Rattus norvegicus: one gene and its partners. The protein of the gene in region 4 interacts with the protein of the main gene of each other region in a pairwise test. Links are inferred from orthologs where the notes say so. Each region holds a gene or a part of one and is shown on either strand. Other genes may lie near its edges.

Evidence for each region.
Region 1: the proteins of Fhl2 (region 4) and Glyr1 interact in binary tests that used the Homo sapiens proteins (3 or more experiments, as listed by UniProt). The two-hybrid records come from large-scale screens. The link is inferred for Rattus norvegicus from reciprocal best matches to the Homo sapiens genes FHL2 and GLYR1.
Region 2: the proteins of Fhl2 (region 4) and Nrf1 interact in binary tests that used the Homo sapiens proteins (3 or more experiments, as listed by UniProt). The two-hybrid records come from large-scale screens. The link is inferred for Rattus norvegicus from reciprocal best matches to the Homo sapiens genes FHL2 and NRF1.
Region 3: the proteins of Fhl2 (region 4) and Rai2 interact in binary tests that used the Homo sapiens proteins (3 or more experiments, as listed by UniProt). The two-hybrid records come from large-scale screens. The link is inferred for Rattus norvegicus from reciprocal best matches to the Homo sapiens genes FHL2 and RAI2.
Region 5: the proteins of Fhl2 (region 4) and Niban1 interact in binary tests that used the Homo sapiens proteins (3 or more experiments, as listed by UniProt). The two-hybrid records come from large-scale screens. The link is inferred for Rattus norvegicus from reciprocal best matches to the Homo sapiens genes FHL2 and NIBAN1.
Region 6: the proteins of Fhl2 (region 4) and Csn2 interact in binary tests that used the Homo sapiens proteins (3 or more experiments, as listed by UniProt). The two-hybrid records come from large-scale screens. The link is inferred for Rattus norvegicus from reciprocal best matches to the Homo sapiens genes FHL2 and CSN2.
Region 7: the proteins of Fhl2 (region 4) and Itga7 interact in a two-hybrid assay, tested with the Homo sapiens proteins (2 studies listed by BioGRID and IntAct). The link is inferred for Rattus norvegicus from reciprocal best matches to the Homo sapiens genes FHL2 and ITGA7.

What each region holds. Positions count from the first base shown.
Region 1 is NC_086028.1:11,048,624-11,052,123, forward strand, and holds part of Glyr1 (cytokine-like nuclear factor N-PAC), read left to right. Parts: intron 1-2,930; coding exon 2,931-3,069; intron 3,070-3,499; coding exon 3,500-3,500. UniProt on the Homo sapiens protein: Cytokine-like nuclear factor with chromatin gene reader activity involved in chromatin modification and regulation of gene expression. Acts as a nucleosome-destabilizing factor that is recruited to genes during transcriptional activation.
Region 2 is NC_086022.1:59,726,426-59,730,234, reverse strand, and holds the end of Nrf1 (nuclear respiratory factor 1), read right to left. Parts: exon of another isoform or gene 777-3,809; coding exon 520-776; 3' UTR 501-519; downstream 1-500. UniProt on the Homo sapiens protein: Transcription factor that activates the expression of the EIF2S1 (EIF2-alpha) gene. Links the transcriptional modulation of key metabolic genes to cellular growth and development.
Region 3 is NC_086039.1:36,640,097-36,644,107, forward strand, and holds the start of Rai2 (retinoic acid-induced protein 2), read right to left. Parts: upstream 2,801-4,011; 5' UTR 2,609-2,800; intron 2,410-2,608; exon of another isoform or gene 2,015-2,409; intron 1-2,014.
Region 4 is NC_086027.1:52,920,527-52,924,813, forward strand, and holds the start of Fhl2 (four and a half LIM domains protein 2), read right to left. Parts: upstream 2,801-4,287; 5' UTR 2,563-2,800; intron 1-2,562. UniProt on the Homo sapiens protein: May function as a molecular transmitter linking various signaling pathways to transcriptional regulation. Negatively regulates the transcriptional repressor E4F1 and may function in cell growth.
Region 5 is NC_086031.1:66,370,719-66,374,218, reverse strand, and holds part of Niban1 (protein Niban 1), read right to left. Parts: intron 2,974-3,500; coding exon 2,862-2,973; intron 1,406-2,861; coding exon 255-1,405; 3' UTR 1-254. UniProt on the Homo sapiens protein: Regulates phosphorylation of a number of proteins involved in translation regulation including EIF2A, EIF4EBP1 and RPS6KB1. May be involved in the endoplasmic reticulum stress response.
Region 6 is NC_086032.1:20,600,644-20,604,623, reverse strand, and holds the start of Csn2 (beta-casein precursor), read right to left. Parts: upstream 2,801-3,980; 5' UTR 2,761-2,800; intron 1,094-2,760; 5' UTR 1,082-1,093; coding exon 1,031-1,081; intron 312-1,030; coding exon 285-311; intron 167-284; coding exon 146-166; intron 1-145. UniProt on the Homo sapiens protein: Important role in determination of the surface properties of the casein micelles.
Region 7 is NC_086025.1:1,947,615-1,951,114, reverse strand, and holds part of Itga7 (integrin alpha-7 precursor), read right to left. Parts: intron 1,303-3,500; coding exon 1,175-1,302; intron 1,081-1,174; coding exon 1,001-1,080; intron 1-1,000. UniProt on the Homo sapiens protein: Integrin alpha-7/beta-1 is the primary laminin receptor on skeletal myoblasts and adult myofibers.

The DNA of each region.
Region 1 (3,500 bases), on a different chromosome or scaffold from region 4:
ATTCCAGTTCTAAGGAATCTGACACCACTTTCTGGCCTCCAAGAGTAGTATCAGGCACACAAGTGATATACCAACATACATGAAGACAAAACATCCAAACATACGAACTAAAATAAGATAAAAAATTACCCAGCTGAGCATTTTACTACCTCTTTGCCCACTGTCAGGCAGTCATTCTGCCCCTAAAAATGACTGTAAGGTGGCAGCATCACTTACCGTTAACTAGAGAACACCAGTTTCCTGCAGCCTACACTGCTGTTCTTCCAGGATAGAGGTGTTGCTGAAGTACCGGCTAAAAGACATCAAGTCTAAAGCAGGCTGGGCTTCGCTGTGTGACCACTACAGAACACATTTTGTTCTGATGGCTGAAGGGATTCAGGCGCATTGTGCTTTCTAGAGGTAATCCTTCTGTGCTCTGGTGAGCTGGTATTTTATTGACTGTATTTCTGATTATCCAGGTCATTTGGTCAGTTTTGGAGATTAACATTTCTTGCTTTTATCTTATCAAAGTCCTGTTTGTATTGTCGGTTCATTTGAACGTTTCAAAGGTCACTGCGTTAGGAGGATTCAGAGTAGTCTCTCAGAGTCCCCTCTAGAAGTGAGTAGGATTCTGTGTGTTCTTCCTTCTTACAGAAGTCAAAAAAATGGGTTCGGTCCCCAGCTCCGAAAAAAAAAATGGAGGCTGACTTACTGGCATTCTTCCATAGAAGTCCTCACCTTTGCTTTTTCTGGCAATCAGGTTGGTAGGAGGAGGCAGGCATGACCGTACCCAAAAGGAGTGACGGGATTACGGCCTGCAGAGCTTCTAACCCAGTCCTGGAAGACGGACAGTGTGTGTCTTGAGAACCATCTTTAAGCTTTATCCCTGACACTGTGTGGTCTCTGAGCTAGGCCACCAGTTAGTACTGCAGCCCTACTGCCGTCACCTCTGTCCTTAGGACTCAGTAAATACGGGTGAAGAGCTGTGGGTGGGTCCCTAGGGACATTCTGGCCAACATTTAGAGGTCAATACCTTATTTCATGTTTCTTCCCTGTGGGTTGGATTCATGGCTCTTATGTCAGATTGCAAACTCTAGTTGAGCTGGCCACCAGAAAACCTCTTTCCACTGGTAGATAAGGTTGGCACTGTGCCAGAGCCTACTGTCTATCCCTCTGTGTTGTTTGCCTCAGTCATAGGTATCATGTCTGCTCTGGTGTGCTGTCTCAAAATGTGTCCCAGGGCTGCCACATTTGTTCTTGACCTGTCTTCACAATTGTTCCCACAGAACAGAGTGAAAAAAGTGGAGATGGATAAACAACACTTTGGCCGTTATTAGTGAATATTCTCCAACTTTCTCTACAGAAAGAAGCTTTACAGTTATTTTTTTTTCTTTTTTTTTTAGAGCTGGGGCCTAGGGACCCACCCACATATGTAATTTAACCAGCACTTTGCCAAGCCTGTAATATGTTCTCATTTTCACTTGGATTCCAGAGCATCATTTAGGAAAGCCACAGAAAGCCTACTGCAGCAGACTTGCTCAGGATTCATGACAGGCCAGATACTTCAGAACTAGCAGCTGACTGCTTTTTTTAACTTAAGGTGTTACACATTGGCAGTTAAAATTAACAATAAGAGGAGTTCATTTTGGGGTTGGGGATTTAGATCAGTGGTAGAGCGCTTGCTAGCAAGGCCCTGGGTTCGGTCCCCAGCTCCGAAAAAAAGAAAAAAAAAAAGAGGAGTTCATTTTGCCTTTCAAAAAGAATGTCATTTAAAGCCTCCTTTTGTGACTGTTGCCCTCATCCCAAAACATAATACGTATGGTTTTGTAGCCATGGATACTGTCATTTAAGAACAAATGTGGCTGCAAATGTCTGAAAGAGCAGCAAACACTTAGATAGTGCATTTGGGGTAGAATGCTCAGTTGGTAGGCAGTTCAATCTCCAGCACCGTGTGTACCAGGAGTAGTGGTGCAGACCTGTGATCCCAGCATTTGGGAGGGGGGAAGCAAAACAATCAGGAGTTCAGGGTCATCCTTAGCTTTGTAAAGTTTAGCCAGTTTACTAAGTTTTACTGAGTCTATGCCAGGTATTGTGGCACACACACCTTTAATTACATTATTCAGGATATGGAAGCAGGCAAATCTCCATTAGTTGGAGGCAAGCCTGATTGTTACCGTAGTGAGACCCTATCTCAAAAGAAAGAAAAGATACATGAGACCTTGCCTTTTTTTTTTTTTTTTTAAGTCTGGTATGTGGTGGTGCAGGCCTTTAATCTCAGCACTTGGGAGGGAGAGGCAAGTGGAACTCTGAGTTTGAAGACAGCCAGGGCTACTCAGAGAAACCCTATCTTGAAAAACAAAATTGTATTTCATTAATCTGGTTACATTCCTGACCCTAGGTTGATGGACAGATTTTGTAATCTGATTCAAATAGTTGACTAAATCAAATGTGGTGGTTCACACCTGGAATTCCAGCACTCAAGCAACAGAGATAGGAAGAGGGCCTGGTCTGCATGGTGAGTGACAGGCCAGAGAGAGCCTATATTGAAAGCCTGTCCATAGAGAGAGAATGAGAGTACACAAACAGCTGTTTCCTTGTGTGACAGTGTTGCCATGGTTTATAATGCTTGCAGGTCTCCCTGGCCTTCATGCAGACAATCTACAGGCTTTGCCTGCAGTGAGCAAGTTTCAGGTGTGTGTGGTTGGGTATGGAAAGCCGGTGAATGAGAATGATATGGTGACTTCAATGGAGGAAAGTTCTGACCTGTTGTGGGTCTGTTTGTTTTAAGAAAATGTACTTGAGGCTCAAGAGTTAGAGGTGAATGGTTGGTAAGGTTTAGGTCTCTTTTAATTTTCAGCTAAAACAAATGGCATTAAAGCACTCCCCTAGTGAGATGTCAGGAATGTGTTGGCATGGACAGTATGGATGAAACTCTGTTTGTTTCCTACTAGCGCATGGATCAAAGTGGAGCAGCTGAAGCCTTACCATGCTCACAAGGAGGAGATGATCAAGATCAACAAGGGCAAGCGGTTCCAGCAAGCTGTGGATGCTGTCGAGGAGTTCCTCAGGAGAGCCAAGGGCAAAGACCAGGTGAGAGAGAGAGGGGCTGCAGTGGTCCCTCCAACATCAGGCCAGTGGTTTGCATGGTTCTGAGAAGATGGTTTGTGTCAGACACTCCTTTTCCGTGAAATGCCTAGAAGAGGACACCTGTGTCCAGAACTCTGCCCGTGGCTCCCTTTTTCTAAGGCATGTTGTTTTGGGAGGAGTCGCTCACCTTCACAGCACAGGCAAAGAGCTTAGGAGTACAGCCACCTCTCACCTTTGGGGCTGTAGACAAGCGACATGTTTTTCTTTTTTTAAGCTGTCTTTCCAGCACAAAGAGAGGTGAGCAAGGATCCTGTTTCTCAGGGTGCTATGAAGACAATTCACAGAACTGCTGAGAGAACTGTGTGGCCCATGTTGATGGCAGTGGTGATAGTGGCTGTTGTAGTGGTTATCATTATTATTGTTGAACTTTCAGA
Region 2 (3,809 bases), on a different chromosome or scaffold from region 4:
CCAGAGGTCATGAGTTCAATTCCCAGCAACCACATGGTGGCTCACAACCATCTGTAAAGAGATCCGATGCCCTCTTCTGGTGTGTCTGAGGACAGCTACAGTGTACTTATATATAATAAATAAATAAATCACCCTCAGCATCCCGGCTTTACATCTAAGAATAAATACGGCATCAAATCTTGTCAACTCTCTTTCCTCCCTTCTTGCAAAGGATTATTTTTATTAACTTTATTCATACGTGTGTAAGGGAAGGAGATATGTGTAGATCCCTTGGAGCTGGACTCACGAGCAGTGGTGAGCCGCCTCACACGGGTTTCTGAAAGGACAGCGAGCCTTCCTAACTGCTAATCCTAACTGCTCCCACCCCAGACTCTTTCAAAAGGAAACCAGACTGGTTTCTACTACTTCAACGTCAGTAATAATTTATCTGCGTCCCATCCCAACATTGTATCTTCAGTTCACAAACGAAACAAAGCCAACACCCCAAACCATACATATGCTAAAGTTAAAAACTGAATTTTATTTCCTTTTCAGTTGCTGTGGCGAGTTAAATTTGAAGAAGATAATATCTCCGTCTTCAACAACGTAAGCTCTGCCTGGTTGTTTGTACTTCCCAGCAGCCTTAGCTGCGTTCTCAGAACTCTCCTCTTTAAGATCTTCGTCTTTCATTACTTCCGCCATAATGAATCCCTTTCCAAAATCTGTATGAATTTTTCCTGCAGCCTGAGGAGCCGTCACGGCTTTGCTGATGGTCCATGCATGAACTCCATCTGGGCCTGCAGTGAGAAAGTACTCTAGTTGGAGTGCTGCAAACCCAGCCTTAGAGATCTTTGGTAAAGCATTGTCCTGCTCAGTCCCAGGACATATCCGTCTCCTCAGCGCTTTAACCCAGGATGGTCTCGAACTCTCAATCCTGCTGCCTCAGCTTCCCAAGAGCTGAGATTGGTCACGCCTAGATTAGCTGAATCTTGAGCAAGCATGCACAAACTTTTCCCACAAGTTCCCTACATTATCCCTCTATCACCATGGTCCCTCAACTCTCCCCAAAGCATATCTCCCTGCCTGGACCTGAGCAGGGCTCTTCTGACAGTCCCCACATCTTTCTAGGGGTGTTATTGGCCTATTGTTATGGACCTGCCCTACTTCCAAGCATTTCCCACGATTCCCTAAGTCTGCATACTTCAGCTGTTGACAAGGCTCACTGAACACTGAGCAGTCTGGGCACAGGAGGTGTCAGTAACCGAATGGACACATTATGACACACCTGGTGTTCTTCATGACTTTTTAGAAATTCCTTCCAGTCTTGCCCTCTGCACTCTGAAGGGTCTTGAAGCCCTTTCCTTTGTTTAGAGCAAAGCAGCTTTCTCCACAAGCATTCTTAAGGGGCTGTAATCAAATGCCTTGTGGAGCTCCATGTCTTCTCATGGGTTATTTTAGTCTATAGGTTATCTTACTTCCATTAAAGCACCCCTTGCCAAAATGTGTGAATTCTGTCATTGAACACCTGTGGGCCTTAGTTTCCTCACATGTAAAATGCTCACTGGTAATCTTCTCACAGGGGACCTGAACCAGGTATGTGGACGTAGAAAACCCCTGGTACAGTGTCTAGCACACAGGTCTACAGTACTCGTCAGCGGCCTTTCAAGGTGCCTGAAGTATAGTTTGGACGGCGGGTTAGGTAGGTTAACACTCCCGGGAAGCAGCACACACTCCGTGCAACAGGCATTTGCTCCTACGGTGGGCAGATCATCTGCCGAAAGCCTCCAAAGATGGACTTCAGACAGAAGCCCCGAATCATGTGAAGAGGACTGGCAGGCAACTCCCCATGCACATCACAGCAATGGAACTACAGGAGGAGACGAAGTAGCTGCTAATGGAGCACACAGGCCCATGAACTGAGCACATAGGAGAGCACACAATCCTGGGCAAACCACTAACCCAAATCAAAGACGTTAAGAACAGGGCCAGTGTAGGACCAGCGATGTAGCGTAGGGGTAATTCAATTCCTAGCACTGAAATAAATGTCATATACACACGAGTGATCAGTTATAGTATGATGATATTATCAAAAACTTCTCAGAAGTGAACAGGATAGACATGGACCGAACAGAAGACAGGGCTTCAGGACTGGCCGGTTACCTAGCACTACAATGTGCCTCCCCCACCTCAAGACAAGACAGGGCAGGATCGCCAACTCTGGCGAGAATGGTCTTTCATTTGCCTTCCAAGCTGGGAAAGCTTTGGGAATTGTTGTGTGCTGTAACTAAATCTTTCTGTCCAAAGGTCTTGGGAGTTGGCTGTGGAGATATGTTTAGTTGGACAATACAGGGGAAAAAATAGCTAAACAAAATAAACACAGTAGCTGTTTTGAGACATTGTAGCCTTGGCTGGAACTCACTGTATGGCACAGGCTGGCCTTACACTTAGCAATCCTCCTGCCTCAGCCTCCTGAGTGCAGCAATTACAGGCATGAGACACCATAACTGACTGAGAAATGACTCTTCAAACTAAAAGGAAATACATTGTAATGTCTTCTGTAGTTTAGTAACATGACTGCTGAAATGGGTAGCGGGAGAACACTGGCCTAAGTGGGGGTGTAAGTCCATGACTAGAGAGAACAGTGAGAAAGCTCTGAGTTAATAGCAATGGCTGCTCTTGTGGAGGACCAGGGTTCGGTTCTCAGCAAGCACGTGGTGGCTTTAGCTCCAGTTCCAGGGGACATGATGTCCGCTCCTGACGTCTGCAGGCACCATGCACACAGATGGAGGCAAGACACTCACAAATTAAGTCTGAGACGAGGAAGAGGAGGGAGGAGAAAGAAAAAGGGAAGGAAGGAGTTAAACCGAGTCCTAAGCTGTAAGGGGATGGAAATCTGATGGTTGACTTAAGACTTGGAAGAACACACCAGTGGCCGTTGTCTAAGGAAAGGCACTGTTATGTGAATCGAAACATGTCTGGTTATCTATCAGAGAAGCAGAGAAAGTCAGCAGGGGAAGCGAGTCCAGCATGTTGACCAGAGAAGAGGCAGATGTCTAAACAAGGACCAAACGGAAAGAAGATGGAGAGAGAGAGCAAGAAAGGAAGGCCATGAAAAGAACACCAACTTCACACAGAAGAGCAGGTAGCCCTGACACTCGCACACAGGTGAGTAAGGGCTCTTCCTAGTCAGCTTTCCCTTTGTGCGCCAAGTCTGAAGCATTTGGGGAATTTATGGCAAGCGCTAGACAGTCATGAAACTAGGAGCAGCCTCAGAGGTCCTCAGTGTTGGGTTCCTCTCAGTCCTCAGAGCTTCCTCTTCTGACTAGACAATCTCAAGATACACTCAGGAAAAAAACGATTCTAGGAATAAGGTTAACAGCAGCACCGGCTGCTGGGACCGGGTTAGGGTTAGGGTTAGGGTCCTAAGGTCTGTCCTTTGTCTTTAAAATTTCAAAGAACTCTTACACCTTTGCCCACAAATCAAGTGTTAAAATTAAATTTATTTTTACTTTTTAGTAAATGTATCTCCAAGATATCTTGGCAATATGAACTCACGGTCTCCTCTTGGACCTGGAGATGCTCAGGAACACTATGAAATGAGACTCCTGTTTTAGCATCAGAACCCCCAGGGTTTAGCATCCTAGAAATTGTTTTAGCATCAGAACCCCTAGGGTTTAGCATCCTAGAAATTGTTTTAGCATCAGAACCCCCAGGGTTTAGCATCCTAGAAATTGTTTTAGCATCAGAACCCCATGGTTTAGCATCCTAGAAATTGTTTTAGCATCAGAACCCCCATGGCTTAGCATCCTAGAAATTGAACCCGCAATGCG
Region 3 (4,011 bases), on a different chromosome or scaffold from region 4:
GCTCACATGCCTCCAAACTTACTTTGCTTTTTTGGTTTTTTTTCTGTTTGTTTTGTTATTGTTCGTTCTTTTCTTTTTTTCCCTGCTCTTTTCTTTTGCCTGTTTTCTAGGTAAAAGATGTTGTAGTTGGCTTTATGCTCCTTGCCTAAACGCCCACCCAAACTGCTCTCAAGCAAGCACTGGACACCACCTGGGAAACAGTTTTCTCATTTGCTCCTGGGATGAACAGGTTTTCCTGGGCCAAACCTCCCTGCATGTGGTCTTGGATCCTTTGAATAATAAAGGAGCCCCCTTGGATAGGCTGAATGACCCAGAGTTGGTGCCAAAACGGTCAGCAGCTCCCTGCCCCACAAGTTTCGGTGTGACTTGGCTCCAAGTGCTATGGCCACCTTGGGCATGCACCCAGTGGACATCTGTCAGGCTGAGAAGGAAATAGCCATGTGCAGAATACAGTGTCTGTGGGGAGGGAACGGGGCTTTCTAAAACTGGTATATAGCTTCCCTGAGCTCCTAAGGACCAGAGAAATTGGGATGCTATCAGGCTAATGGCTTATAATTCTGTGTCTTTGGACTCATCCTTGCTTCTGAAAGTAGCACAGCACCCCACGTTTCCCTTCTAGGAGAAAATACGAAGACACTCAGGGTATGGGTGCATGGCGCTACTCTCTAGGGAGGTGCACCCTCCCCACAAGCCTCTCTACTGTCCCCTGGTATACCACTGTAACAAAGGCTCTGCCACGACGTGTTTTCAAAGTTAGCTGAAGTCTCTTGCTCTACCAGCACACAATTGTGATGACTCTAAAGGAGAGAAGGGAAAACAGCTAGAAAACGGTGGGAAAGAGATCCTGGGAAAGCAAAGAAAAATCTGCCTGATGCAGGAGAGGCTAAGAATTGTTTTCATTCTGCCGGCTGCTTTTCTCTGTGTTCAAAGCAGACGCTTCCAAGAATTGGATAAATAAAGGGATCACACCAGAGGATGCGAGATAATGCTAAACCAACAAAAACAAAGACCAAACGAAACAGAGTGAGCCATGAGAATATGCGGTTATCAAAACTTTGTTTGGCTGTATCTATTTATCATCGCCGCACACCCGGGCTCTGCGGAATATCATTCTGTTGATGTCACTTATCCTCAGCAAAATATTTACACATCCTTAAAAAACGCCAGATGAGGGAGGCTGGCCCTCTCGCTGCTGCAAGCCGCCTCTCAAGCCCATTGCCAGGTCTGGGCAGCTCAGAGGTGAGGGCACAGGGTGGATGGTATCAGTGGATACAGGTAAGAACAACTGATAGTTTTAGGAATGTGGCCACCCAGGCGCTGTGCCCTGCCCAGCCCGGCCCACTTCTCTACCTGACTCTGTAAGAAGCAGCCACATCCCCCAGCGCCTTCTCCTCTTCCCCCTCCCTTTCTCATTGATTAAGTTCCCAAACCATTGTTAAAGCTGGATTGCCGCCTTTTAAAAAACGGCTAAATTCATTAGGTTTCTCTCTTCCAAAAGAGAAATATTCATAAAAGTTTGGCAGTCAAAAGAGAGGCTGACTGAATACCTTGGGGTGGGTAACAAGTCACTCTTCGCAAAGCCACGGTCTTCCTTCATGCCCTATCTGTTTCTCCACCCATCCATCGTGCCCCAAACCCACTCCGCGGACTTCGGATAGGGAAACACAAAGCAGCAGCTGTTTGGCAACATTTCGACCCCTCGCCAACAACTGTGGTGGGATGCCATTTCCCCACCCAGGCGGAGCTTATCCTGAACAATAGTAGGGGTTTAAATGGCAAACAACAAACACACAGAGCAAGTCCCAACCCCGAGGAAAAAAAAAAAGCCAACGCGCAGGAAGGCAATAACTCCCTTCGCAGCAAAAGGCGCCACTGAAATGCACGCATACAAAAAAAAATGCAGCCAGAACGCTGCTTGGTGCCTAACATGGCAGAAAGCCGGGGCTGGTGTGGCCACCCCGGGTCTGGGCACTGTGGGGGCACCAGGGCTCCCAGGGCGCCGACAGGCACTCACCCTGCTCCAGCGGGATGCGGGACTTGCTGAGCGGCACAAAGAAGATCCCAGCACGATCTGGCAAAAACCAACTTTCCACCCAGCTCGCCAGGGCCGCCAGATACGTCAACAGAATCCATCTTTCGAAGGGCCTGGAAGGCGCCTGGTTTTCCTGGCTGGGGCAGAATGGCAGATACCGAGACAAGCCCGGTGCGGTGCCCGGGCACGGAGCGCACTTCGTGCCGCCCTCTAAGCCCAGTGCCAGAGCGGGTGGCGGCCCAAAACCCACTTCGGGGCCCCCGCCCCACCGGCTGGCGCCGCCTTCCCGACTGTCCCCGGCCGGGCTGGCCAGTGCGTAGCGCCGGCCAGCAGGAGCCTGGCCTGGGCGAGCAGCACAAGTGGTTGCCTCGACCCGCGTCCCCGCCCCCGCCCGGCCCTCCCCGCTGGCCCCGGCCTCTGGGCGCCGTCCTGCCCCCGGGAACAGGCAGGCCCCTCCCCGGGCGCCGGGCCCCGCCAGGCGCGCCCAGTCCGGCGCGCCCCCTTCGTCCTGGTGGCAGGTCCGCCTGGGGAGGGCGGGGGTGACCCCGACCAGCACAGGGGTGCCGCAGCCGCTACCTCGGGATCCGGGCTGCCGCCTCCAGGAAGCCACGGGGTGGACGTTGGTGTGGGAACTCTCTTGGTCTGGCCTCGCCGCTGGGCGCCTGAAGGGGGTGCACAGCGATGGGAGCCTCTGTCTTTGCTGTCACCCAGCCGCTGTCGCTGGCCGCCACTGCCGACTGTGTCTGTGCGCGTGTGTGCCTGTGTCCGGGAGAGTGTGTGTCTGCGTGCAGCGCCTGGCCTTTACTATATACACCAAGGGGTGGGAGGAGGCGGGGAAGGGGAGGGCTTGGGGGAGGTGGCGGAGGAAGGGGAGCAGGAGGGGGGGCGAAAGGGTACCCGAGGAGGCGGTGGCAGAGGAGGGACAGGTGATCTCGCCCACAGGGAGGGTGTGGTTGTGGGCGGTGCGAGGTGACAGAAGGCTGGGGAGCTGGAGGCGAGCGCTCTCTCTCTCTCTCTCTCTCTCTCTCTCTCTCTCTCTCTCTCTCTCTCTCTCTGTGTGTGTGTGTGTGTGTATGTGTGTGTGTATGCGCGCGCGTACATGCGTGTCTGTGTCTGTGTCTGTGTGTCTGTCCGTGCTCTCGGGTTGGGAAGGCCTGGACGAGTGGAGACTTTGCTGCTTCCAGGAGATCTGGAGTCCGTTCTAGATCTTAGGATGAAAAGCAAAAAAGAACAGAGCCCTGAAAGGGAAAGTGTTTGGTTGATAGAAATGGGAGCATTCAGAAGAACAGCTACCACCCTCCCTAATATGCCTCAGGAGATTGCGGTCTAGGTCAGAGATGACACTCCCAAGGCAGGACATTAGCAAAGACAAAATTAGTCCAGAAACAGAATATCGTGTCTAACCAAGAAGTGATTCACATATTAATTTAACATTTATTATGCACCCAGTGTTTGCCAGATACTGAGTTATGTAAGAACGGGAGTTACAGACATGATGAATACATGTCTGGTGTCCCATAAATAAACACTATGAATCAATAAACACTGGTCATCAAAATTGTTTTAAGTCTAAATCCATTTTACAATGTTTTAAGAATGCAAAGGAAGCAACTGTATTATTGGTTTAACGTATCCTCAGTGATGCTGAGGTTTTTCCTGTTAAAACAGGATGACGATATTTGAGAGTGAATGCTACAGCAAGAATTGCTTTAACCTGGTCAGAGAACAGTGTGACTCTTATAATCCTTTGTACACTCAAACCCCTTCAAGCTTCAGCATTGTGGCTATTAGTTGTGGCTTTTCTCTAGTAGAATTTGGGGTGACAAGGACACAAAATACCTAGAGAGCTGCCACCTTAACCCACCTGTTGATAACTAATACGGGAACCTGTACTTGTATGTATAAGGGTTCCTTCTAACCATGATGTTATGCAAACCTACTGCAATAGTATCCAGGGCCAAATTATGACTCTGTGGGAG
Region 4 (4,287 bases):
TCTCTTAAGACTTATTTCTTATGTGTGGTATGTATCTGTATGAGCTTGTGCAGGTGTCCACTGAATCCAGAAGATGTAAGATCTCTAGAAGCAGAAGTTACAGGGAATTATGAGTTGTGAGCCAACTCAGACCCTTGGTAATTATTCTTAACAGCTGAACCATCTCTCTAGCCCCTAGACTCCACTTTTCAAAGGCCCTACCTCCCAACACTTACACAAGGATAACTAAACTTCCAACACGTGAGTCTTGGAGGAAAAAAATCATATCCAGATCACAGCTGGTTACAGATGGGGCAGGTCCCGAGGTGTGGTTTGAATCAGAAGGATGACATTGGCAAATATGTTTGACAATATGTTCACCAGGGAGTAGAACTCTTTGAAAGGATTAGAGGGATTAGGAGGTATGGTCTTGTTGGAGGAAGTGTGTCTCTGGGGCTGGAGCGTTGAGGTTTTAAAGCCTACGTCAGGCCAAACTCTCCCTGTGGATCACAATGTAGAACTTTCAGTAACTTCTCCAGCACCAGGTCTCCTGTGTGCCACCATGTTCCCTACCATGATGACAATAGACTAAGTCTTCAAAACTGTAAGCAAGCCCTTAAGTAAACGCTGTCTTTGATAAGAGTTGGCTTGGTCAATACATTGACTTTGACATGGTGTGTCAGGTTAGGTAGCCAGTTCTCAGTGCAGAACAGGGGTAGAATCCAGGCTTCTTGGCCTTCTGAGTTGTGTTTGTTTAGTTAGCTGGGTTTGTTTTTTGTTTATTCATTTATTTTTTTTAATATCCTGCTGGGCATTTCTGTCTGCAGTTGAGATATCACTCAGTATTGAAGTGGTTTAACAATCTTGGGTCAAAACATGTGGTCTAGGGCCTCAACAGAATATTCTCTCAATGCATCGTAGTAGAGAATAGAGGTCAGAACTCAGATATCAAGCTATCTGGAGGCAGTTCTTGGGGCCACACTCTACAGGCTGGGAAACTTTGGACATCAAATTATTTTGATTTTTCTATTTAAGTTTCTTTCTCTGTGAACAGGAGGCTTTAAAATCTACACATGGTGCTTATACTATGCAATAGTTATCTAGTTCTCTGGGAGGAAACTGAGGCCCTGATAGACTTGGCTCTGCTCCAAGTACATCTGCCAGCTAAGACTTCTATACCCATCCCTATCCTGCCTGGGAGGCTGGGCTGCAAGGAGGCAGAAGGAAAAGAAGCCACAACAGGGGTCCCCAACACTGCATACTGTTCTGTTAAAAACTAGGAGAGCACTGAATCTGAAAAAAGAATGAGGGAAAGAATGATTTAAATCTTGTTTTGTTTTTCTTTTTTTATTAAACTTTAGTTGGGTTGGGAATTCTAAAACTTAATGCAAATTGGTTTCTATGGTGGTGGGGCTTCGACGGGGAGGTTCTAGATCACTGTAGCTGCAGGATGTGGTAGGTTACTCCTGCAATTGCAACACGTTGGAGGCTGAGGCAGGATAGGCACCAGTTTGAAGCTACCTGGGATGACACAGTAAATTCCAGGCTTTCCTGGCTACAGAATGAAGCTTTATCTCAAACAACAACAACAAAACAATCCCCCCCACAAGCCACACCCACAAACACCCTTTCTCTATTGCATTACTGTGAAATTTACACATAAGCAAAGTAGCACCCCAACACGAGACACATTTAGAGCAGTGTTTCGAAGGCAACCTTGTAACTATAAGTCCAAATTGTAGTTAATTACTTCCCGAAATATGTGTAAGAAAGTTGGCTTTACCGAAGACAGCTGTATATTTCATAAAATGCGTTCTTTGTTGAGTTCCAGAGACACAACTGAAGATTATCAAGCAAATATGGCCATTTCTTCACTTTAAATCAGAAAAAGCATTTCAAGACTTTCTTTCCATAAGACTGAAATCTATCAGAATTCTTTTCATCCTAAAGAAGTTGTTTTTCTTTTTTAACCCTACGGCTCAGGTTTTAATTTGGGGGATTAGTCAAGGTGTGTGGTCACAGGCAAACTCCCACTTCTTCTCAAGGGAAATGCTTGGCCTTCCACGTGCTGACCAGCCTGTCACCTCCCTCCCATAGACTTCAGGAACCAGTTCCACTTCACCTCTGGGGGCTGACCTGTGGGCAGTTCATCGTTTCCCACCACCTGGCAGTGATCCACCTTTACAGGGCCGCCACCCTCCCTCTGGACACCAACAGTCCCTTCCCCACCATTTCCAAATTCGGCTCTCCTGTGCTCAAGTCCTCCAACACGCATGATTTTGGTCCTCTCTGCCCCGCATCCGTTCTTCCTAGGGATGTCTCCCAGTAGATCAACTCGCGGGTCCTGAGATCTCCCCTCAAGCCTTTCCTTCAGCCTCTGCCACATTTCCGATCCACCTTCTCCCCTTTCCCTCCTGACTCCCTCCGCTTCATTTCGGGTCATCATCCTGGGTATCCTCTGCCCAGCTACACTCTCCTCTCTCCCTGATCTGTCCTTTCCGTTTGGGGTCCCCATCCCGGGTGTCCTCTGCAAATAGGGCTCTCCTCCCGCCAGGATCTGTCCTCTCCGTTTCGGGACCCTACCCTGATGCGGTCTGCACAGCTCTGCTCCGGTCTCCTGGGTCTCCGCCCCGCGGTCCGGGTGCGCTGGCCACTGGTGTCTCTCCACGCGTCCTAGAGCAGCTGTCTGGTGGGGATCCTCGTGTTCCAAGCAGGGCTGTGGCCTGGGCGGCGCCAGGAGTACTCACACACGGTGAGGCCGGGGTCTAGGGGAACCCAGCGGACTGTGGACCGGTGGCGGCAGCGGCTCAGCGGGCGGAGTGCAGCCGGCGCTGCGCCCGCCCTCGAGAACCCCCGCCGAGTCATTTGACCATATAAGGACACACGCGCCGGGGCGGCGGGCTGGGCGCGCTGGCCTGGAGAGCCGGGCGCGGCGGCGAGCGCCCCTCAGCAGCCGGTCGTCGTCTGTTCCCCCTGCTGACGTTACCACAGACCTTTTGTTTGACTTAACCTTCTTCCTTGCTTCCTGGTGTTTGGCTTACACTGTCAACCATCGTTGCGCCCTGGACTTGGCTCCCGGGATTGTTGCTAGGCAATGCAGAGAGCTATAGCCACTGCCACCCAAGGGCGGAATGACACGGGACTACTAACACCAGGACCCTCCTCTGGGTTGCAGGGTCCCTGCCCGGTTGCAGCCTGGTGCAAGCATGGATGGATGGGTCGTTTGCAGATGTGGGGGAAGGAACTATGTGTGTGTAGCGCACACATTGGCATGGTAGTCTGTTGGGCCTTGCCTTGCAGACACCTTTCCATCATGGAATGAACCAAACCAATGACCTAGAGAATCATTAATGAGCCTGTTCCACCAGGGAGCTCACTGAGAGAAGGTCCTATGCTCAACACTCAGGGCTTGAGAGCTGTTGGACATTCAGTGGCTCCCTCCTGGCACAAAGAAAACGCTGGTCTTAATGTGGCCTTCACACTGTAAGCCAAGGTCCTCTGCAGAGTTGGTCTTTAGTAGGGACACGAGACTGTGTTGTGAGGCATGTGGTATCCTCACGCCTAGGAAAGGCAGCATCTGCTCTTGAGCAAATGGGTCCACACCCGGACAGGGTGGAAGATGGGCATGTGGAGAGGCAATGAAGGCCGGGGTTGGTGATTTCTCAGGGTCATGAGGTGACAGTTTATCAAGGGATTCATTTGGGTGCAGAGTCTATGAAAGGATATAGTTTGTCATCACTAAAATGGTATGGCCTCAGTAAGAATGTAAAGTGGCTGGTCACATTGTCTTCTCAGTCAAGAAATAGCGAGCAAGGAGACCTGGAGCTCAGTTTTCTTTGCCCAGCTCTAGAGAAGTGCCGTCCACTTTGGGAGCCAGTCTTTCCTCCTCAGTTAAACATCTCAGGAACTACCGCAAAGATTCTTCTAGAGGTGTGTCACCTAGGTGAGTCTAAGCCCAGTCAAATAGATAGTGAAGAACTATCACAGTGGTAGAAGTCGTGTGGGGTAGGCTTGTTATTTCCTCCATCCGAGGGGTGCTGAGGGCAACACATTTTCCGTTTAAGGCAGGAAGAACCGTGTGGTGTCTTTCTTCTGGATGATACTTCCTGATTGCTGTCACCAGAGGGTCTCCATGGTGGGACCTCAGAACTTGAGAGGCAAGGGAGTTAGGATAATTGTCCCGTAGTCAGCATTAGCTGTATCTGGCCTCTCCAGGGATCCTCGGCTCCTTTTGGTAAAGTTAGTTATCTCAATTAAATGGTGAGGACTCTAGATGAGGTGAACAGTTTCTATACCAGCTGAGATTGG
Region 5 (3,500 bases), on a different chromosome or scaffold from region 4:
TGACTTTGCCCCAATGCTTCAGTTCTCTTACCATTCCTATTAAAATGCCAAAGTGATAGATCATTCATGGGGAGCACTTCAGCGCCCCAAAGCCTGCTCACTGCTCCCACCGTCTGTGCACTCTGGCTTCATCTTTCAAATTAAAGAAACATTTCATAATTTTTATAGCGAGTCACATGCAACCCCCTAAGGATACCCATAACTAATACCCCTTGACTGACAGTTTTAAAAGAAAAAAGACCGGCAAACTGATTCTACCACTCCCCTGGGGAGCCCACATCACAATCGTGAACATCTAGGATGTCGGCGCTCGGGGCATCTTCTACCTCCCAGTGGCACTCATACACATGGGCATCGTTGATTTGCTCTGTATCCATAGCAAGGGCTGGGCTATCATTCCCTCCCAGCACTTCCTGATCCTCAGAAACCTGGGGCCCCTCATTATTCTCCACGGGACAGATGGGGTTAGAACTTAACGTGGCATCTTCTTGAGGTGTGACTGTCACAGAATGCACAGCCTCACCTCCTGCCTCGGTGCTGTCCTGTGTGGAAACTGTGGCTAGGAGCACCTCCTCAGTGGGCCCTTGAGCCTCAGATGGCTCCTCTATGGGGCCTAGACAGCTGGTGTTCTCAGTGAGTCCCTCACCGGTAGACTGAGAGGTAGGCCCTCTACCCTCTGGCAGTGTCCCCAAGTTCACCCCAGGAGCCTCAGCTTCCAAAGGCATAGGATGGGCCTCCCTCTCTCTGACTTCACTTTCTTCACAGCTGTCCTGCTGGATGGCAGCTGGGCCGCTGGCTTCTGGGTGGATCTTGCTTTCCTCCTCCTCTTCTTCTTCTTTTTTATCTTCTTGGGGAACAGGTGTCCCGTTTAGTGTATCATTTCCAATCTCTGGGGCAGACTCGACGAACACCGTCACAGTCAACAACTCCTTCAGTTCCCTCAAGGACCCTGGCACGGCGCTAGACTCTGGCCTTTTGTGGGCTGTTTCCTCATCTTTAGGGGGCTCCCCAGCTTCTGCCTCTGACAAGTGTGAGCTGAGAGGTCCTGCTGAATTATCTGCACTGAGAGGGTTCCCGGCAGAGTTATCCACACCGGACACAGACACCTGCCCATCCTCACCTGAAGGAGGGCTGGACCCAGAGATGGAAGCACTTTCTTCTCTGGCCAGCGAGCCAGGGACCCCAGGCTGCTGCTGCTTTTCCTCAGGCCCCTGGAACACTTCGCTGCCTGGAGCCTCATCGCCTGGAGCTCCTGGGAGAATGGCAGATGCTCCTCTGGCTGGGCTGGCCTGGTTTGACCCCATGGAGGTTTTGAGGTCTGTCAGACTGGACACACTTTCACTGGGTAAGGCCATGTTGTCTTCAAATAAGTTGTGTTTCTTCAAGATAGCTGCTTCCGTTATCACTGAGAGGGAGCAGAAAACAAAACACCACATTAGCGCTCTGCCCGGCAAACCTGGATTTTCCAACGTTACCCGGGAGCCAATCATTCCTGTCCTCTGGCTCCCCAAACTCTCAGTTTCTAGAACCATCTCACGACCACCCTCTCACAGGCCGCCCTTCCTGATGACCAAAACCTGCAAACCTTCCAGACTCTGAGTCTTGGTAGCGTTCATTCGAAATTTTCAATCAAGAAACACTTGCTAGGCATCTATTCTGAGACCAGCCCCAATGTGGAGAATAATAAAACCTCTGCTTGTAAAGAACTCAAAGTCTCCAGGGGTATCATATTCATCAGTGTCACCAGCTGCTGTGACAAGTGGCTGCTCTGGAACTCTAATGAGGCAGGGGCAGGCCTTCCCCTTCCTTGTTTTGTCTGGCAGTGTGGTCCCGATTGCGTAGTGGGTATTCAGGGCTAAACATCCAGCTGAGAGAGCTTGTTTGGCCTGGAGTGTTCAAGATGAACATTTGGAAGGACAAAGAAAGTAACAGCATGGGTAACAGTGCATGACGGTTCAGCCACAGACCTCTCTGTGCAGGGCTACAGTGTCCAACAATGCCAACTTGAAGTGGGTCTTACAGCAGAGGCAGAACCACTAGGGGTAGTCAGCACTAGTGCCCTGCTCTAACAGGCACCATCTTATAGCAAGTTTCAGGCAGAGGGGAGGCCGTGCAAAAGAATCTTCTTCCAACTGAACTAAGACATGTGTGCAGTAGGCTGTCCATGGCCTATGCACACACACCATGCCAACCCCTTTACCCTCCTCATCGCCTGGGATTCCTGGCCAGCTACAGTGACCTGAGGCTTGGACTGGACCAGTTTTCTCACTGGAGGCATTTTAATAATGGCTACTAAATGTGTCTCACTCCAGTAGATGGCTGGCAGCCTCCTGCAGAGTATTTCCAATGCATAACTAGTCCCACTGTGATCACAGACAAGGCCCCGCTCCACACTGCAGCAGATGCCAGAGTCCTAAAGAGGCTCTCAGAGTCCTATGCCATTGCCCTGGGTCTCTGTCCATCTGACTGGAGGGGAGGAATGTGCTGAGAGAGCAATGGTTGGGCCCTACTGCCGTCCAGCCCTGAAAGTCTTTCGGTGTTCTAACACAGAGTAGCAAGGACAGATCTACCTGCCAGACCCTCAGTTCAGCCGCACTAAGCCTTGGTTTCTTTCCTCTTTGATGATAAAGCTTATGTTCTTGTCCTACAGAATTCATGCTTGCGTTGAAAGAGGATTGACACGGCCCATGGCGCAGTCACCTCGTGAATGAGGCGAGGTTGGTCCTTCCTTCCTATCTGCCCTCTCCTTGTTGTCACCCCTGCAGACCAATCTCAGTTTCAACTCTTCCGCATTCTGATCTTACGGCCTTCCTGAGTCCTATTTCCAGAGTGCACCCCGTTTCGGAGTGCTCCCTCCTCACCTTTCAGGGTCTCATCGAGGAGGATCTGATACAAAATCTCTTCATAGATGTTCTCAACATGGATCATATTGGTGTGGTCTGCGAAGATGAACTGCTCATATTTCTGAAGCTCCTGGAGGGTGAGAGAGGATGAAGAAGAAGAGCCATGACGTCAGGGGACTGCCACTCAAAGCTACAATCACGTACCATCTCACGGGCAAGAAAACAGCACATGCTGGTGAGGACGTGGGGAAGGGGGGACCTCTGTACACGGCTGGTAGGGGATAGGAGGTAGTGGAGGCATTGTAAAAATTACTACGGGCCTTTCTCACATATGATCGAGCTGCCTCTCTTACATACGTGCCTGAAGGAAACTGTTCATAACAGCCAAGGTATGGAAGCAACCGGAGACGAGTGGATAAGGAACGCGCGGTGTATACACAGTAAGCGAAATCGTGTCATCTTCAGAAAGATGGGTCAAATGGGGATTGTCAGCTTGAGAGAAACAATCCAGACCCACTTTCTCTCGCATGTAAAATCTAGACTTAGTAAACGTTGAAGAAGACAGAAATGGAGAAGGAAGACAATTTGCAAAGCAGAAAGGCAAGAGGGATGAGTGGGGACCAGAAGGGGGGGTGAGGGAAATCGATCGGAGGCGCT
Region 6 (3,980 bases), on a different chromosome or scaffold from region 4:
CGCTATCCTTCATGAGGAGAAAATATTTTTCTCCTCCTAATATCATGTAAAGGGTATTTACTTAAGAAGCATATGGGTGTGAGCAACACAATATAACTCAACAGAAAGATGGCAATTTGCTGCCTCTGAGAGACAATTGCCTTACCTCACTGGAAATACTACCAGTCTGTAAACAAAAAAATACATACATATATATGTTAAATTATAGATCCAATTAGGACTTCAAGATCATTAAAAATGTAGTAATCTTAGAGTTGGAAATTTGTCTCAATAAAAACTCTTACCTCAGAGGACACAGTGAATGCATCCTTCTGTAAAAGCAAACAATTAAAAACATTATGTTACTATATCAACCCTGTTATTAAACATACTTTCTGCTTGATTTGCATGTCTTTTTATCTCTTTCAGAAATAAAAAAATTGATATATGGCTTTCATAATCTTGAAAACTTATATTTACAATCTCTTTGATATTTTAATAAGTTTTTATAGGTACATTATTATATTACATAAAGGTGTACATAAACTTTGACGGCTGGCAAAAGTTACTTTGCTTTCCACTAAACACTTTCTTATTATGCCTATGACTCTACTCAGAGCATGGCCACAATTCTGGATTGTATTTCCTCCTCTAAATATCTCTTTGGACAGGCACAGTAAGACTTGATCTGCTCATCTAAAGAGGTGCATGCACTTTATCATCAGACTGAGATACTCAAGCTGCACATGTGAGTCTACTTTTGTGAAGTCATGTTTATTTGATGTATTTCTATCGCCTTGCTTCAATTCTTATTTCTGCTTTTGTTGTTGTTAGAGAATTTGTCACACAATAGTGCAGTAAGCACTTATTTCAGCTTGGAGAGCCTACAGGAACTTTGAGACCCTGGGTGATTCTCAAACAAGCGGTGACTAAATAAAGCTATCCCAAACTCTCCATTGATTGCACATTAAAAGCTATCACTGCTGTTATTGTGTATAAGTGAGCAGACTCATCTCTACATCTTAATTACTTAGGAAGCTTCTCTACACACCTCCCTTGCAAGAGCAAGTGCCACAAGGCAGGCAAGGATGAAGACCTTCATGGCTGTCAAGTCCTGTGAATGAAGAGAAGAATTAGAAACAGATTAGTCAGCAACAAATCAGAATCTGCTCTGGTTCTTAAATACTCCTATTACTAAGCCCTACACTCAGACGTCAGCTGCGGCCATCATCAGCGTTCGTCAGTTCACAGCTCCTGCCATTCTTTTCTTTTTTAACTTTCCTTTGCTAACAGTTGCATGGATGCCTTACAAAAGCTATGGAGAATGCATAACTAGCCAAACATTCCACAAGTCATTCATTTTAAACTCCTGAGCACTTACAGGTGGCCAGACAATGAACAAAATATTAATATCTCAGTTCTATGGAGTCTCACATTCACATCTAGAATGAATTAGTAGACAAAGTGTATTAACTGTTTTGTTGCTTGTGAATTATCACAGCATGAAAAAATAAAAATTTAAATATATTTATAAAGCATTCTTTCCAATACTTGAAGGTGGAAAACTATCCCATTAGTGAAAAGAAGTGGGTTTGGTTTTTTGTTTGTTTTTCTGATGTATGTTGTATTATTCATTATCAACACTTTGTCTGAAGCTTCCTCCATGGGTTTCCACATAATCCAATCATCCTAGATTAAAAGAAAGTTGTGTCTTTGTGTATTTTAAATGTGGGGAGAATACCACTGCAGTTCTTGTATTTAAACCTTGGCATTTTATACACCAATTTTAAACCAGAACTTCACTGTTATGTGGTATGTTCTAAGCTACAGTTCTTTCAACTCATCTTACTTCAATGATCACTAGTTCTAAGTGAGTTCTGATAAAGACTGAAGGAGCTGAAGGGGTTTACAACCCCATAGGAAGAACAACAATATCAACCAACCAGACCCCCCAGAGCTCCCAGGAACTAAACCACCAATCAAAGAGTACACATGGAGGGACCCATGACTCCAGCTGCATATATAGCAGAGGATGGCTTTGACTGGCATCAATGGGAGAAGAGGCCCTTGGTCCTGAGAAGGCTTTATGCCCTAGTGTAGGGGAATGCCAAGGAGGGGAGGAGGAAAGGGGTGGGTAGTTGTGTGGGGGAACACTCTCATAGAATCAGGCTGGGAAGGAATGGAATAGGGGGGTCCTGGAGGGGAAACCAGGAAAGGGGATAACATTTGCAATGTAAATAAATAAAATACCCAATAAAAAAGAAAATAGAAGACTTTGTTTCTATTTTTTACATGGTTTCTAATATTTCTTGTAATACTATGAACTAGATCAAGAATTCCAAGCCCCTGGAAAAGTTTTATGATTACAATTTTCTTGCTTATAAACATGCAGTTTGCTTCTTCCAACAGCTATGCCATAAGTATCTATTTTCCATGATATAATTTGAGTGCATTACACTAGTAAAATACATCAAATCAAATAAGATAGCTTGTGTAGGAGATAATTCTTAGTCTCTCCTTTATAGTAGTCACTGGCTTTATATATTTTTACTACATTTACCCAATTTTATGAAGCCAGGGTCATTATAATTTGTACCAAATTTTTCTAGGCATTTCTGACTTTCAAAAGCCTGTCCTTGAAAATAATCTCACAGTTTTTTAAAATATCTATTTTCAGAAAGCTATATTTTAAGTAAATCTCTTCTTTCTATAACATAGTCTAGTATGGGTTTGAAATAAATAATGAAAATAATATTTCAAACTTACGTCTGAAGTTCTTACCTTTAGCGGAGGACAAGAGAGAAGATGAAGCTCAGAGGATGATGGTCTATCAGACTCTGTGACTGTATATATACCATACTTAATGACATGCTAATTTGTGGTTCGTAAGATATTCAAAAGTCCCTTAATTCCAAGAAGTCCACATGATTAGAAAATGGTTTCTTTCTATTTTCTTTCCCAAGAAATTCTGGGGGACATTAAACAAGGCAGCAATTCAGAAGCTGGTGAAGGAACTTGTCCAGGAAAGGAAATTGTCCAATAACTGGACGTCTCTCCAGCCTAGTACACAGTCCTCAGCACTCTCCCCAGCCTAGTGGGGGGCTTTAACCTCACCTATGTGGCAATGATATAGAGACATCAAAATTCACAAAGCTTTAGAGAGGCCAAGATTTCATCTCCACCTGAGCACTAAGAACTCCATAATGCTAAGATAGACTGGTCATGAGTAGCATACTTTTTGATTGCTCACATTCACCAGATTTGGGAAAATTTAAATACATTCAACTAATATTCAGTACACAGGGGACTGCGTTTTACATAGTATTAGAACAAGTCAGAAAAGGAATCTTTAAGGTTTGTATAAAAGATAAAACTATGAATCTGTAAAAAGAGAAAAGTTTGTAAAACGGGCTTAGAATAAATCAAATTCTTGGCTTAAATAATAAGGCCTCAGAGGTCTACAAACACCAAAAAAGGTATTTCTCTCTGTGTGTGTCTCTCTCTGTCTCTTTTTGTGTACATTTCTCTCTCTCTCTCTTTCTTTCTCTCTCTCTCTCTCTCTCTTTCTTTCTCCTTTCTTTCTGTTCTTTTATTGAAAATAGGCATGTAAATGTATTTACTTAGCAATCAGTTACCTTTTTCTTCAGTTATGATAGTCATAATAGTAATTACAGATACAAACTTTTATCTTTTTAATGCTATGCGTAACAGCCACTAACTACATAATAATCATTATCTTGTCATCTTTTTGCAAAACAACTTGAAGTTGCTTTTTTTTCTCATTATCAACATTTAGGAAATGAAGACACTATATGTACAACTTGCTCAGTCATGTTACATTTAATGATAAAGTTATAATACCCACTCTACATTTGTCTCGCTACAGCTGATTTTTATTTGGTCACATGTAAGTTCCGTGGCCCATACTTTAACTCTTCTGGGATTTTGTCATGAAAAACTCAAACTTAAATGTATTATTTTTGTTTCAATGTATTAATTTA
Region 7 (3,500 bases), on a different chromosome or scaffold from region 4:
TTTCTGTGCGGATTCTAGGAACCCAACTCAGGTGCTCGCAGAGCAAGCACTTTACCGAGTCACATCCCAGCCTCTGCCTAGATCTTTGTAAGCCATCACCTCTGAGAAGGACATGCCCTGTGCCTCTTCTCTGAGTACTACCAATTTCAGAAGCATGACTCAGCCACCATGCCTGCAGAAGCCCCTTTTTCTACTCTTCCTTTGGAGTTGTGGGCTAGAGGCTAGACCATTTAGTTATATTCAGGCTCATGGTGCCTTCCATTGATAATAGCGTTTCTATGAATGTTAGTTAGACAGACAGACAGAGAGAGAGAGAGGTCATGACTAAAAGGCATGGTGCCACACAACTTTAAATCACAGCACTCAGGAAGCAGAGGCAGAAGGATATCTTTGAGTCCCAGGCCAGAAAGATTCTCCATAGCTGCTCGGCAGGACCCAGACCTCCACTGTATTCACAAGTCCTCTCTCAGAAACTAGCATAGTGGCTGACGATAAGAAAACGCAGTGCTACCTAAATACTATACATGGACTGACCCTGGACTCTGACCCCATAGGTAGCAATGAATATCCTAGTAAGAGCACCAGTGGAAGGGGAAGCCCTGGGTCCTGCTAAGACTGAACCCCCAGTGAACTAGACTATGGGGGGAGGGCGGCAATGGGGGGGAGGGTTGGGAGGGGAACACCCATAAGGAAGGGGAGGGGGGAGGGGGATGTTTGCCCGGAAACCAGGAAAGGGAATAACACTTGAAATGTATATAAGAAATACTCAAGTTAATTAAAAAAAAAAAAAAGAAAGAAAAGAAAGAAAACGCAGTGCTGTGACAAAGGCGTAGGTGAGTAGATACAAATCTCAGATGAATATTTCTAAATGGATAAGGAACGGGACCATGTCTTGCGCTTTTGTCTACACCCCATGGTTGTGGGAATCAGTTGTGCCATGTCCCCAGTTAGTGCAGTGTACACACACATCATCATCACTTCTGCAGGGAGTAGTACTTACAACAACCTTGCCCCCGGCTCCCTGGCTCCGCACGCTGACTCCCAGCCACTGGTTCTCCTTGCTTTCCTTCTGCACATTAGCTGAGGCAATACATTGGGAATCAGGGGACAGAACAGGAGACAAAGTCCTGCCCTCTTCACATGCCGCCCCAACTCCACCCTCCCAAGGCCACACCTCCCCTGTCGATGTCCACTCTGTAGCAGTCTGTCTCCTCTAGGCTCAGGGGACAAGCAAAGAGGCCTCCCGTGCGATTTGCCTGCTGTCCGGGAAGAGCCAGGGCCTGGGGGGCACCCACCAGCAGCCTGTAGGGTAGGACAAAGGCTAGACTCAGTCCTGAGTGTTCCAATTACCCTGGAGCTTCCCTGGCCCCAACTCCTCGGGGCCGGGCAGAGCGTTCAGTACTAAAGAGAAAAGAATAAAAGATGTTTTTCTCAAATTCTGGCAAGAACGGGTTAACAGAGCTTCTTGTCACATGCGTCCTTACTCTCTACAAAGAACCAACAGAAAGGGTGGGTACACACATAGGAACACACATGCCAGTCGGAGTAGCCTGCCAGCATTGCCAGCCTAAGAGAACGACTCCCGCCAGCACCTGTTCACAACAAACTCCCCCACCCCCTACTTGGCCCCAGCCTCAGACTCTGCCCTCCTCGCTAACCCTGGTCCAGTTGAAACCCAGCCAGAATGGCAAGAATGCCTGGAACCAGAGCAACGGGCACACAGACTGGCACCACAGTGGTTCAGGGACAGCTTCAGAGGCCAGGCAAGAGGCTAGAAATGGGTCTGCTTCCCCTCTGCCACGTGTCCAGCAAAGACCGTACCCACTGGTGGCTCTGCGATCCCCACACTCAGTCATGCCCGCTGGTGTGGAAGTAGAGAAGGTTTCTCATAGCCTCTAACCTCACCTGAGTTCTGCCCCACATCCAGAATCGCCTTTCCCGTCCGACCTTCCCCCCTCCACCCACAACTTTTTCTTCTCCTCTCCCGCCACCCCTACCCAGGCTTCTTCCTCAGCCTTTTTCTCAGCTACAACTTTCTTGGCAGCACAATTTTCCATGATTACAGCCAAAATGTCTTCCCCAGAGGGGGACTGTGCTGGGAACAGAGGCTGCCTGGGTCCCCCAGGACTGGACCCCAAAAGCCAGGAGTGACTGGAAAGTGAAATGAAGTAACTGATACCCAGGCGGCTACAGAGATCCTCTCTCTCTTCAGGAAAAGGTTCAAGTAGGCAGGCAGCAGGACGAGCCTCAAGGCCTCTCTCCCACATCCTTCCATGTCCCATCCTGAGGGGTGAAGCCCACAACTGTCGGACAGTATTACTGACAGGCATCCGTGGGGCACTGTGCCAGACTGTGTAGGGTGAGGAGAAAGGTTCCCACAAGCCCACTGTCCCTGAGCAGCTGTCATCCCGTATCAGAGCCCGTGTCAAGTGGGGGTCAGAGGAGTGTGCCACTGGAAGTTCAGCAGTCAGGACCTGCTGTTTTTGCAGAGGACCTGGGTTCCATTCCCAGCACCCACCCCAGGTGGTTATAACTGTCTCTAATGTCAGGTCCAGAAGATTCAACACCTTCTTGTGGCCTCTTTGCACATAATTTTATTTGAGCACAAGTTACACACACACAAACCCATAAGTAAAAAATTAAAAATAGATCTTTTAACAGGAGGGACGAGGGATTGTAGAGACAACTTAATAGCCAAGAGCACTTGTAGGCCATATGTGGTGGTGCATGTGTTTAATCCCAGCACTCTGCAAGCTGAGGCAGACGGATCTCTGTGGGTTCGAGGCTCGCCTGCTCTACAAAGCAAGTTCCAGGGCAGCCAGGGTTACACAGAGAAAACACTGTCTCAAAAGACATAAATAAATAAAAATAGAGAGCTGGAGAGATGGCTCAGCGGTTAAGAGCCCTGACTGTTCTTCCAGAGGTCCTGAGTTCAAATCCCAGCAACCACATGGTGACTCACAACCACGTAATGGGATTCGATGACCTCTTCTGGTGTCTAAAGACAGCTACGGTATACATAGATAGATAGATAGATAGATAGATAGATAGATAGATAGATAGATAGATAGAAAGAAATAAACAAAACACTTGTTGCTCCTGCAGAAGACTGGGTTTTGTTCCCAGCACCCACACATTGGCTCACAACAATACTTACGTCCAGTTCCAGGGGATCTGACACCCTCTTCTGGTCCTCAGAGATACCATGCACACACTTGCAGTACACAAACATACACAGGCAAAATATGCATACATATAAAACAAAAAAAACTTTTGAAAATTGGGGGGAATCAGGAAGAAAAACATATATTCATCATTCGTCTTACTACCGTTGACTGAGGCCCCGTTATACATCAAGCCCTAAGTCAGGCACTGATAAGACAAGAAAGTGATATTAATCAGCACCTATGATAGACATGGAGGTTGGAGGAACTACCTTTTAGCAGTCTCCACTTGGATTCCTAGGAGAGGAGCCACAAGCATTTTCACAGTTGCTCTCA